Tribolium castaneum: one gene and its partners. Each later gene encodes a partner of the first gene's protein in a complex. Links are inferred from orthologs where the notes say so. Each region holds a gene or a part of one and is shown in the gene's direction. Other genes may lie near its edges. The genes, in order: serine/threonine-protein phosphatase 4 regulatory subunit 1, Pp4-19C and serine/threonine-protein phosphatase 4 regulatory subunit 4.

Region 1 (3,656 bases):
GAAAATAATGACTTCATTTTAATTGCGAACCTGAGCTTTTTCATTTTATTAATTTTTGGAATAACGAAAAAAATATTTTACAAACATCAGCGAAAGGTAAACTAGTAGTGTCATTTGTGTTTTTTTCTTTTTGTTTTATTTTACATCTTTGTTGGTGAAAAAGATACAGCCAGTTTTACTAATTTTATTTTGTGTCTAAATTTGTTAAAACGTGGTCATGAACGCTACAAACATTTTATTAAAATTATCTTTTGCATAATTACGGCAATAACCGTCAGTTATCTGCCAAATTCACCCATTTTTAAACGTGTCTTGTATTAAATCATTATTAAAAATTATATTATTTTACAAGTTACATTTAAGTTACAAGTCAGCAACTCTCTGGGCAGCAACATTACCCTCTTAAATTATCATTTGATTATTGAACATTACAATTTTGTGTCAAACTTTAGTCAACCTTTTATTAAAATTTATATACCTACATAAATTTCAAATGTCTTTGTAAACAAAAAAGACAATTGACAAAAACAAGTAAAAATTAAAAAGTTTTGTGATTTGTCGCAACAAATGAGCTTGAAAACTAAAAATTAGCATTAAGTTTGTTGCTCAAATGTAAAAACCTGCCTTTTTAACACGTAATAATTTTTGCAAGTTTAAAATGTGATTTTTTTGGAGTGAATAAAGGACATTTTGCTATTTTGTGTATTTTTCAAAAGTTATATACCATACGTTTAAACTGAAAAAGAAAAAAATAACCTCGTCGTTTATTGTATTGTTGGTTAAAGAAAAAGTTTCTTTGAAAAAAGTTGACAATAAAGTATTTTTTCGCGAAATTTCCAAATATAAAATTTGCGACGTAGATTACATTATCCTCAGGTCCACGGTCGGCCATCTTAGGCTTGTTTCCGCGGGGCGGAGACTTCGCGACCAATAGAGACGGACACCGCCAACTCCGCTTTCGCTGATCACCGGTTTGTAGTCGGATATCGCAATTACGTATCAGCATTAAAACGTGTGTATGTGTGAATGACTCGACCTTATTGGATATTTCTCGCATTACATATATTATGTTTTGTTTTATTACAATTGAAAAAATGGATTTTTTGAAATACAATTTTTGAAAAATTATAATTCGCGCTTTGGTAAGCATCCAGTGCGCGCGCATCACCACGCTGACTAGGATGTTTAGTTGTTTGGGATGATTTCCCGCCAATTCTTTGTGATGCGTCTTAGTGTACGCCACGTGGTTGTGGTTTTTTTTCTTAACGAAAATGTGTTTGTTTGCAGTAAAATGGTTGCCCGAATTGTTCAAGATTTGTTTCGTACATCACCTCCGGAAATTTTAGCCGAAGAACTTCCGAGTATTATGACCATCGTTCGATCGCTGGGTGAGAAAGATGGTAAGTTTTGTTACAAGTTTTAATGACGTGTTTGAATGGTAGAGAATGTCGTTCTTCGGTTGTTGCCGGCAGCAGGTAGTCATAATTCCGTATAAAATGCGTCACATTTTTTACTAGCCTTGGAAGTGCCTATAATATGTATAAGAATATAATTTACTTTCGTGTGTGGGGGTTATTATCTGATATCAATGGGTAAATTTTCCATGTGATGGTTTAGTTGGATGAATCATTCGGGCGGCAAAAAATTATTATTAGTGGTTGTTTTGAAATTGAAGTAGAAGAAAACTTGCCTAGATTAAAATTATATCTTGGTATTTCCTGCCGATGCATATCTAATTTTTTTTCGTTTCTGGGAAGTGCTCTCACAGCGATACAGTATTTATGGAGAGTACTTGTATTTTAAATTTTAAAACCACGTGTTTGCGTTATAGTAGTTCAAAAACCTAATTATTAGATACTCTAGAAGCGTGCATATAATTTTGATAATGTTTTTATCTGTAATATGGTTTATTAAGATTTATGGGAACTTGCACTTGAATATTTTATTCGAAATTAAAATTCATTAGGCGTCCTAAGCATTATTGACCATTTGTGTGCTTTTATTTTGTATAAAACGGCATATTTTCATTGTCAATGTCGCAAGGTTTCTTGTGGGCAACAGAGTGTATAATCACTTTTTTCCGAATGTTTCAACAAGAAAAAAGGAATACTCTCAATATTTTGTCTAAAATAAACAATAATTTCACTCGTATGAGACCTAAAATTGTGTAAATTCTACGTTTTTTCAATTTTTGAACACTTTACAATAAATTTTGGTCAAAAGTAATGTTAGCATTTCAGCTTTTTTTGTGCCTTTTTTAAGCGCGTTTGTGAGTTTTAAGTCTAATATTTTCCTAGAAGAAACAGAAAAATTACGAATTTTTATACAAGCTTATTTTACTTTTTGTTTGTAAGCACGGAAATGCAATTATTACTCGAAATTTCGAATTTAAACAGCGAAAAGTCACTCAACTATTCACTAACATGGTTGTTATTTTAGACAATTAAAAAAAATTACGTACCTACAATTACATAAAAACACATCGAATTTGATCGAAATTTTATTTTACTGTTTGATAGCTATAAAGAAAAGTAAAATGTTAACAAACTATTCGCTTTTGTAGAATTTTGTTCTAGTTGCGAAGAAAAAATTAAAAAAAATGGATATAAGTTCAAGGAATTCTTAGAAATTCGGATGAAACGAATTCGTCAGTTTTGAATTACAAAACCATACCACGATTGCACGTGTGAGAGATTTGGTTTTTCATTTATTTTTCTATTTTTTCGGACAACAGAAAGACGGTTGAATTACCTAGAATTTGGAATTTGTAAAGATATAATGAATTTCTTTAATTGAAAAGCTGCCTTTGTTTTAATTATTTTACCAACGTTAAGGAGTTGTTGGTATTGTTGTTTTCTTTTTTTATTCAATTTTATAACATTAATCGGGTTTGGGCGAAATTTCGTCAAAATATGCCGAAAAATCGTAATATTTGCTAATAATGTTCTTTTTAAGTTTAGAGATGTCGCTAAAACTAATTGAAAACTCATTTTTTGGTCGCAAAATTCTATTCATACTAAAACGAGGAATCAACAAAATTAGTCCGAAATTAACTGTTTTTCCAGTGGTTAAAACACTAATTTTCTTGAAAAAAATTGTTAAAACTGAAATTTTATCGAAATTTATATTTATTTTATTTTATTTCAGTTTCAGTTTTCAGACTTGAATACTTGGTTATTTTGTAAACGCGCTTCAAAATCATAAAAACAAAATGAAACTGATGTTATTTTGTTTGTTTCACTAGATTTCGTTGTTTTTTGAGCTAAATTTCGTCAAAAATCAGGTGAAAAGTGACAAGATTTATTCGAAAACGCATTTATGCTTTTTTAAGGTTTTATTAAATGCGTTGTTAAGTTTCTTACGCTAATAAACCGAGTCGAAAAGTCAGATAATTGGTCCAAAACTCAAAAAAATGTAATTTTTTCGTATTTAAGACGCTTTTAATGCAGAAACCTAATTATTTCGCAAAAATTGTCAAGAATAAGCCGAGAAATCGTCGAAGAATTTGCAGATTTTTTTTTATATTCTCTTGACGAAACGGTGACGAATTCCGAAATTGTTTTGTTTGTTTCTTTTTCATCTAAACATTAATCCAACAATTTCCAAAAAAAATTCTCTCAATCAAAACTATGTAGTTTACGACCTCTGATGATTTA
Region 2 (3,748 bases), on another chromosome or scaffold:
CGATTTACACTAGCCGATTATGTCCGACTTACACCACGGAAAAAAGACTGGAATGACTGACTTTTTGGCCATTAATTTTCAAAAAAATTGTAACCAGAAGACTGTCTTTTATTTTTTAATTCTAGTAGTTACAATCACGATCATGTTATACCACTGCAGTAAACAGTAAATAAACATATGCAAGGTTGTTCCAGATAGGTACGCCCATTGTAAAACAACAACAAACAGGCACACCAACCAAACACAATACAAATGTCAAAGGTCAAATAGTAGAGCACTTAAATTTTATTGCAGTTAGGCAATAAATGAAACACATGATTAGCGGGAATTGTTGAAAACAATTTATGACTAAGAAAAAATCTTCTTTTGATAATACTTAATTAATAAAATAACACATTTTTGTCATATTAAAAAAACAAGTTATTAATAAATCTCTAAACCGGTAAAGATGAGACGTTAATTATTGAAACGTAGTTTTTGTATCTCACTATCAATAATACTACAATTAAAAAGTTATTTTTATGGTCGGGAATTCTATTTATTCTTATCAACAACTAACGATTCACCTTGAAAATACCCCAAAAGACCCCAGATTTTGCATGCAGGTACCCCAAACCCCGCAAACGCTGTAGTACAGCCCCAGCCACCCTTGTCCAAGCTACCCCAATAAAATTACCTGAAACAATGAGGGCTTCATTCGGTCCCACCGTATGGATATTTCCCATGTCTCCCAACACCTCGGCACCACACACACAGTCACAAACCCTCCACAAAACCCCCTTAAAATTTCAGGTTAAACATGAAAAAACTCCGCTTTAATTTTTTAAGCCGTAATCATACTACGACCTACTGCCTAACGCAGGCGCACCAACTTTATTTAAACAACCCTAAACGCAATTTCTCCCCAATTTAACCGTCCACCGTCGCTTTCCTGCCGAAATAAGGGTTGAGAACGTGCGCAGAGTAGCGTCGGTGGCGACACGACGCCGCCGCTCAATTGACATTTGTGAGTCAGCCAATCGGACGTATGTCTGAGATTAGGGCATCGGGGTGCTGTGATTAGTGGCTTTGGTGGGGGCTTTTTCGAACTTTTATTGGAAAAAGGTACGGAATTTCGCCAGAATTGTGGGTAATTAGCGTTTCGCAATCGTTTGGGTTCAGTTTTGGGGGTTTTTGGTTAAGTTTGGGTGACCTAACCTCAACTTGTTACTTTTTGTTTTCGTTTGACGTTTGAGCTTGGGGGCCCGTGTTTCAGGCACAATGGGCGATACCAGCGATTTAGACCGGCAAATCGAACAGTTGAAAAGGTGCGAAACGATCAAGGAATGCGAGGTTAAGGCGCTGTGTGCGAAAGCTAGGGAAATTCTTGTTGAAGAGAGCAATGTTCAGAGGGTTGATTCCCCGGTTACGGTAAGCGCAGCCCCCGGAAGGGGTCACGGTTTGGTTCATTGTGACTTGCTTCAGGTTTGTGGCGACATACACGGCCAGTTTTACGACCTGAAGGAGCTCTTCAAAGTGGGGGGCGACGTCCCCGAAACGAACTACCTGTTCATGGGGGACTTTGTCGATCGTGGGTTTTACAGTGTTGAGACGTTCCTCCTGCTACTAGCCTTAAAAGTAGTACCGAAAACGTGACGCAACAAGTAAAAATTTACGATCATTTTTTTAGGTTAGGTACCCCGACCGCATCACCTTAATACGAGGCAATCACGAGTCGCGTCAAATAACCCAAGTTTACGGATTTTACGACGAGTGTTTACGCAAATACGGCTCCATAACCGTATGGCGGTATTGCACCGAAATTTTCGATTACCTCTCACTTTCGGCTATCATTGATGGCAAAATTTTCTGTGTTCACGGGGGGCTGTCGCCCTCCATCCAAACCCTAGATCAAATCAGAGTCATCGACCGGAAACAGGAAGTACCACACGACGGACCAATGTGCGACCTGTTATGGAGCGACCCTGAAGGTAATTAATAGCCCCCTTGAGTCGCTCCCAAATTGAAAAAAAAAATTGGTGGCCAAGTTGGCCCCGAAAAATTATATTTGTGTCCAGAGTTAGTCATGAAAAATCAATGTTGTAGATACCCAAGGTTGGGGCGTGTCGCCCCGAGGGGCGGGCTATCTGTTCGGTTCCGACGTCGTGGCCCAGTTTAACGCCGCCAACGACATTGACATGATCTGTCGAGCGCATCAGCTGGTCATGGAGGGCTACAAGTGGCACTTTAACGAGACTGTGCTGACAGTGTGGTCAGCTCCAAATTATTGCTACAGGTAAAATTACCACTGGGAGCGCCACTGAGCTAGGTTGAAAACAGTAACTTCAAATGTCGGGAAATGTTTATTATGATTGTACGAATTTGGAGGCTTTCGTTTTTCTTATGTCTGTATTTTCGAAAAGTGTTTTTATTTCTGATTGCAACGATGTATCACATGATATGATCGAATGCTGGTTAAAATGGAGAAAAAATATTTTTGCGAAGGATGCTTTGGAAAAAACGCCAACAATTTTGTTTTTAAACCTACTAGATTTTGGAGGTTTATTTGAATTTGGATCTAGAAGCTTCACATCACCACCAAGCCTACTTATTTAAAAATTAAACCACATGATAAACAAACTTACTAAACGATACATTAAATTCGTTACTGTTTTCGACGAAATGTCGTCAACAAAGGGCGTCTAGTTTTTTTTTCCAAACTGGGCATTTGGTAAATTTCGGTTATTTTTTGTGTTTGCAGGTGTGGCAACGTTGCCGCAATTTTGGAACTGAACGAGCATCTGCAACGTGATTTTACGATTTTTGAAGCGGCGCCTCAGGAAACTCGAGGCGTGCCATCGAAAAAACCACAAGCTGATTATTTTCTGTAATAGTTTAGTTGTTCTTTTATAATTGTAATATACATATTATACTCTTGGTCATCTGTTAATTCATAATTAATTCATCAGTTGTAGTTACGTATTTTTTCATGGTCTTCAATTATGTTTAAGACAGTTTTTGTTCCAGTTGTCGATTTATCCCTCTATTGACTTCGAAATTCTAAAACTGTACTTATAGTGAATTTATTTATTTAAAACCATGTATTGTACCATTTGCAGACTGCCAAAATACATTTTTTTGTAAAATTTGAGTTTTATTTCAAAGATATTGCAAATTAAAAAAATAATGGCGGCACTGGCAGCCATTTTGGGACGGCTAATTCAAAACCGTACCCATCGCGTGTGTGATAGCTAAGCAAAAAAGCCTTAAAACGTATAATTAAGCTTTGAATTGAAGGTTTCTTAAGTTTTATGTTTCAAAATCGAAATTTGAAGCCTCCAGTCATAAAAAATCATTTTCCATGAAGCAGTAATTCTTTGTAACAAGACACCCCAAGCATTTGTGTCAACCACAAATTACAAAATTTCTGAAGCTCAATTCGTAATCCAAATCAAACAGTTGTTATTCCTATTTACTTATCTGTCTCTCATTGGTTTTATAATTTTTATTTTGGAACAATTCGCGTCTACACGACTTCGTACCATCGGGACGCTTGATTTTGACAGTCGCGGCATCATCAAGCCCAAATATTTTCGTTTTTTCGTGCTTTTTTTACCAAAAATCCGGTGCATAAGCCCTTAAAAACATCCCTTTTATCAATTCAACCCTTCGTGGGCTTCTAGTGCATGAATTGCGTCAACCATGACCGACGAGAGGCTCCACATTGTAAGTTAACCCCAAAACCCCCAAAAAAATCATAAATTGTCCG
Region 3 (3,512 bases), about 23 Mb from region 1:
ACCAATTTTTTTTCCAGTAGTTGCTTATTTTAGAACCATTGTAGCGATATGAGCTTCTTAGAACAGCATTTTTACATTGATGCTGGCGTAAGCTTACCGCGTATCGAACAACCTATAGATATGGAAATACGCAAAGTTGTGACAGATTTCGATCAACAATTGAATTTATATTCGGAAGATCCGAACGTAATACCGACTGTCTCTGTCGAAAATGTTAACATTGAAGCAATGTCTGAAAGTGAATTGAAAAAACTGGAAACATCAACCACCAATATTACAGACGATGTTAAAGTGAACTTGAGAAAGAGAAGTAAGAAAAGTACAAATCGCAAATCACTTCTAAGTCCACCAAAAGATATCTGCTTGAAATACAAAAGATATTCGAGTGTGTTCCCAGCCGATTCCTCAACATCTAAAACAACATTGAATAGAAGAAGCCTGAATATAGGTGCTGGTGATTTAAGTAAAATTCCAGTTTGTGTGAAAAAATCACACAGTAATGCTGATATAGAGCATGTTTTTGAATGTGGAGATGGCGATAAAGCGAATAGAACCTCGGGAAAGGTGAAACATAAACCGAATGAAGCCACTCAAAGTAAAATCAGGCCTAAATCTGAAATTTTAACACGTCTTGACAAACAAAAGGACGATAGTGCAATAACTTCCAGTATTAGTAAAAATAATGTGCCAATAAGTAGTATTAACAAAGGAAAAACATCAGGATTGCCAGTGTTGAAAAAGTAAGTACTAGTAGATTTAGCTTTTTGTGCATGCTTATTTTAAGTAGATGAATTGGTTGATAATTTGCAAAAAAAAAACGTTAAAGTTCAGTTAAACTAAACATCCCAAAAACTAATCTTGTTTACTTTTTTAACAAGTATTTGTATGTATAATTAATAAAATAATGATGTAAATGTACCTCATTTTAATAGCTTATAGTATAACTGTCAGGAACACCTACTCATTGCCCATAAAAGTTCCATCAACAGAGTCGCATTCTGCTATGTTCTCTCTTTTTTTTGTTTAGAATTATATTTTTTTTAGAAACCGGCATAAAAATTAATATTTCCCTGACTAGTCAGTGCTTCGTATATTATGTGATATACTGATATACTATTATTTGTACTAACGATTCTTTACCTGACAGTAAAAATATGTGGTCTTGTGTAAAAGTATGGTACTAACTTTCTATTTATGATAAAAATATGCCTTGGAGGTACATTTTAAATACTCTTTATGGGAGTACGAGTTTTTTACAGTTATAATTGTAATAATTCTAATTAGAAATGACTTTTAACTAAAATACAATTAAAAAAAATAAACATATTCATGAAAGTTTAATCTGCATTATGCAATTTTAATCGATACATCCATAAAAAATTAAAATGTATTATGATACACGTATTTAGTAAAGAAAAATATAAAGATTTTTTACTTCAAAATTTCTTGTTTTTCTCCAAAAATCTGTTGCTACTTTAAAATTCCTTCTTTTTCTTTTTCAATTTTGGTTTACACTAGATACATAAAAAATTAACATGTATCGTTATACTTGTATTTAGAGAACATATTTAAAGATTCGACTGACAAGCAACTTCAGAAAAATCTTTGAAATTGACTTGTTTTTTCTTTTATTTTCAAAATCGTTTTACTGCAAAATTTCTTCTTTTTCTCCAAAAATCTGTTCCTTATTTTCCTTTTTTCAGTTTTGGTTTTCTCTTTTAACAACCCAATTTCCCCTTTTTTGGTGATCAAATCATTTCTTTGTTTTTTTTGAATACACACGTTTGTTCAACAACTCAGGGCACAGAATGTGAGTTGACAAACTGCAAACATCAGCAACAACTGCCCCAGGCCCCACGTTGGGCGCCACTTTATAAAGAGTATATTTATTTTTTTAAGTATTTTTTCCTTTTCTTGTATATCTTCTTCCAACCGAATTTAATAATACCAGTGGGCACAGGCTATCTTTTTTCTATTTCACGTAAACATTTTTGATATGCCAATAAAAATATTGGAGTAGTCATACGTATCTTACAATATCTTTGAGTAATGCATTAGCAATATATCTGTTAATATATTTGTAATATTTTACAATTCTTTATTTTATTTTTTGTTAGATTCTTTTTTTAGGATATCGGCTACAAATTTCTTTGTTTCATTTTAATTTCCTCCTCTTTTCTTAATCGAACCTTTTCTTTTTATACATTCGTTTTTATAGTCCTTCATTTTTATCTTATTTTTAGACAATTTCTTCAACTTTCGTCTTCTCTTGTTCTTACCTTTTATCCATTCATCCAAATTTAGGTGATGACTAGAACAGATGCTATTTTTAGAATAATTTTAACTGTGTACGTTAGAAAAATCGCGAAATATTAAAGAATTTTTCAAGTGGAATAGTTGAAGACAACTGTTATAAAAAAAAATCCTACCATGAAAAAATGTTTTCGGTTTTATCTTGTGTAATCAGTTTGGTTAAAGGGACGTTTTTAAAATTACTACATCTGGTTTAATCATTTTTTGCCCATTCGCATTTTAAGTTGAAAAAACAGAAGATAAATGAAAATAAGAAGAGAAATTGCATTTGGTTGACTTGAAAGTAAAAAGAAGTAAACAAACATCATGTTTTCAATGTCTCCGTATACTTTTTTATTTAGTGATTATCATGCTTAAGACTTGAACTTGAGATATCGAAAACCTACGCTATAACGAAATTTTAGTTCGCTTTGGGAAACATTTAAATTTCATTCTCGATAAAAACCATAAAACAACAAATAAATGTGGGAAAGTTTATGGTGTGTTTATTATCACTGCTTTAATAAAAATAGTGGAGATGTGTTTAATTTATGTTTCTGTTTCAGGAAAACACAGTCCGAGATCAAGAGCAAATAATTTATTTTGTTACACTTTGTCAGAAAGTCTATTTTGTACGTTTTTCTATAACAATTTTAATAAATATTATCTTAACATACCGAGGTATTCATTTATTAATTTCCTGTAATATTTTTTCTACTGCTTCAACAAAACTAGGCACGACGGCATCTGGTGGCGTGGAAATTTTCTTCTCGTCACCTGGTTGATACTTTCCTGTTTGCACCAAAAATCCCCTGATACCAGCCTTCATTGCCCCTTCTACATCATCAGTTACGTCCTAAATACACATTAACCCAGTTAAAAAGACATCAAAATAGTGGCAAGTTGCAAAAATTCGCATAGAGCTGAAAATTTCTACAGGTCTTTAGGACACTATTACAAATAACATATCAAAAGTCCCAATCGATCCCATGTGTGCAAAAAAAATATTCAAGGTTAAAGTCAAAAGTTTCGGTTTTTGCAATTTTTCGCATAAACGGTAAATGTTATCATTAAAATAGGTCAGACAAAAGTTGTAGACAATGCAATTGTCTTGTAGACAAGACACAAAACCGCCTACTTTAATTATAAATTCAAATAATCACATGGTATTACGGTTTATAAGAACATAATATTCAGAAATACTACTTTGCATCTACCAT

Evidence for each region.
Region 2: serine/threonine-protein phosphatase 4 regulatory subunit 1 (region 1) and Pp4-19C share a complex: the UniProt entries of both Homo sapiens proteins name them as parts of the PP4 complex. The link is inferred for Tribolium castaneum from reciprocal best matches to the Homo sapiens genes PPP4R1 and PPP4C.
Region 3: serine/threonine-protein phosphatase 4 regulatory subunit 1 (region 1) and serine/threonine-protein phosphatase 4 regulatory subunit 4 share a complex: the UniProt entries of both Homo sapiens proteins name them as parts of the PP4 complex. The link is inferred for Tribolium castaneum from reciprocal best matches to the Homo sapiens genes PPP4R1 and PPP4R4.

Annotation. Positions count from the first base shown.
Region 1 is NC_087394.1:36,828,234-36,831,889, reverse strand, and holds part of serine/threonine-protein phosphatase 4 regulatory subunit 1, read left to right. Parts: intron 1-1,287; coding exon 1,288-1,400; intron 1,401-3,656. UniProt on the Homo sapiens protein: Regulatory subunit of serine/threonine-protein phosphatase 4. May play a role in regulation of cell division in renal glomeruli. The PPP4C-PPP4R1 PP4 complex may play a role in dephosphorylation and regulation of HDAC3.
Region 2 is NC_087401.1:11,679,130-11,682,877, reverse strand, and holds Pp4-19C (serine/threonine-protein phosphatase 4 catalytic subunit), read left to right. Parts: upstream 1-950; 5' UTR 951-1,104; exon of another isoform or gene 1,105-1,129; intron 1,130-1,255; 5' UTR 1,256-1,260; coding exon 1,261-1,410; intron 1,411-1,464; coding exon 1,465-1,617; intron 1,618-1,669; coding exon 1,670-1,970; intron 1,971-2,085; coding exon 2,086-2,275; intron 2,276-2,740; coding exon 2,741-2,870; 3' UTR 2,871-3,125; downstream 3,126-3,748. Other genes in the region: Flo2 (flotillin-2), read right to left, coding at 677-725; protein suppressor of forked, read left to right, coding at 3,682-3,705. UniProt on the Homo sapiens protein: Protein phosphatase that is involved in many processes such as microtubule organization at centrosomes, maturation of spliceosomal snRNPs, apoptosis, DNA repair, tumor necrosis factor (TNF)-alpha signaling, activation of c-Jun N-terminal kinase MAPK8, regulation of histone acetylation, DNA damage checkpoint signaling, NF-kappa-B activation and cell migration.
Region 3 is NC_087394.1:13,858,016-13,861,527, forward strand, and holds the end of serine/threonine-protein phosphatase 4 regulatory subunit 4, read left to right. Parts: intron 1-44; coding exon 45-740; intron 741-2,858; coding exon 2,859-2,889; 3' UTR 2,890-2,968; downstream 2,969-3,512. Other genes in the region: haloacid dehalogenase-like hydrolase domain-containing protein 2, read right to left, coding at 2,978-3,148. UniProt on the Homo sapiens protein: Putative regulatory subunit of serine/threonine-protein phosphatase 4.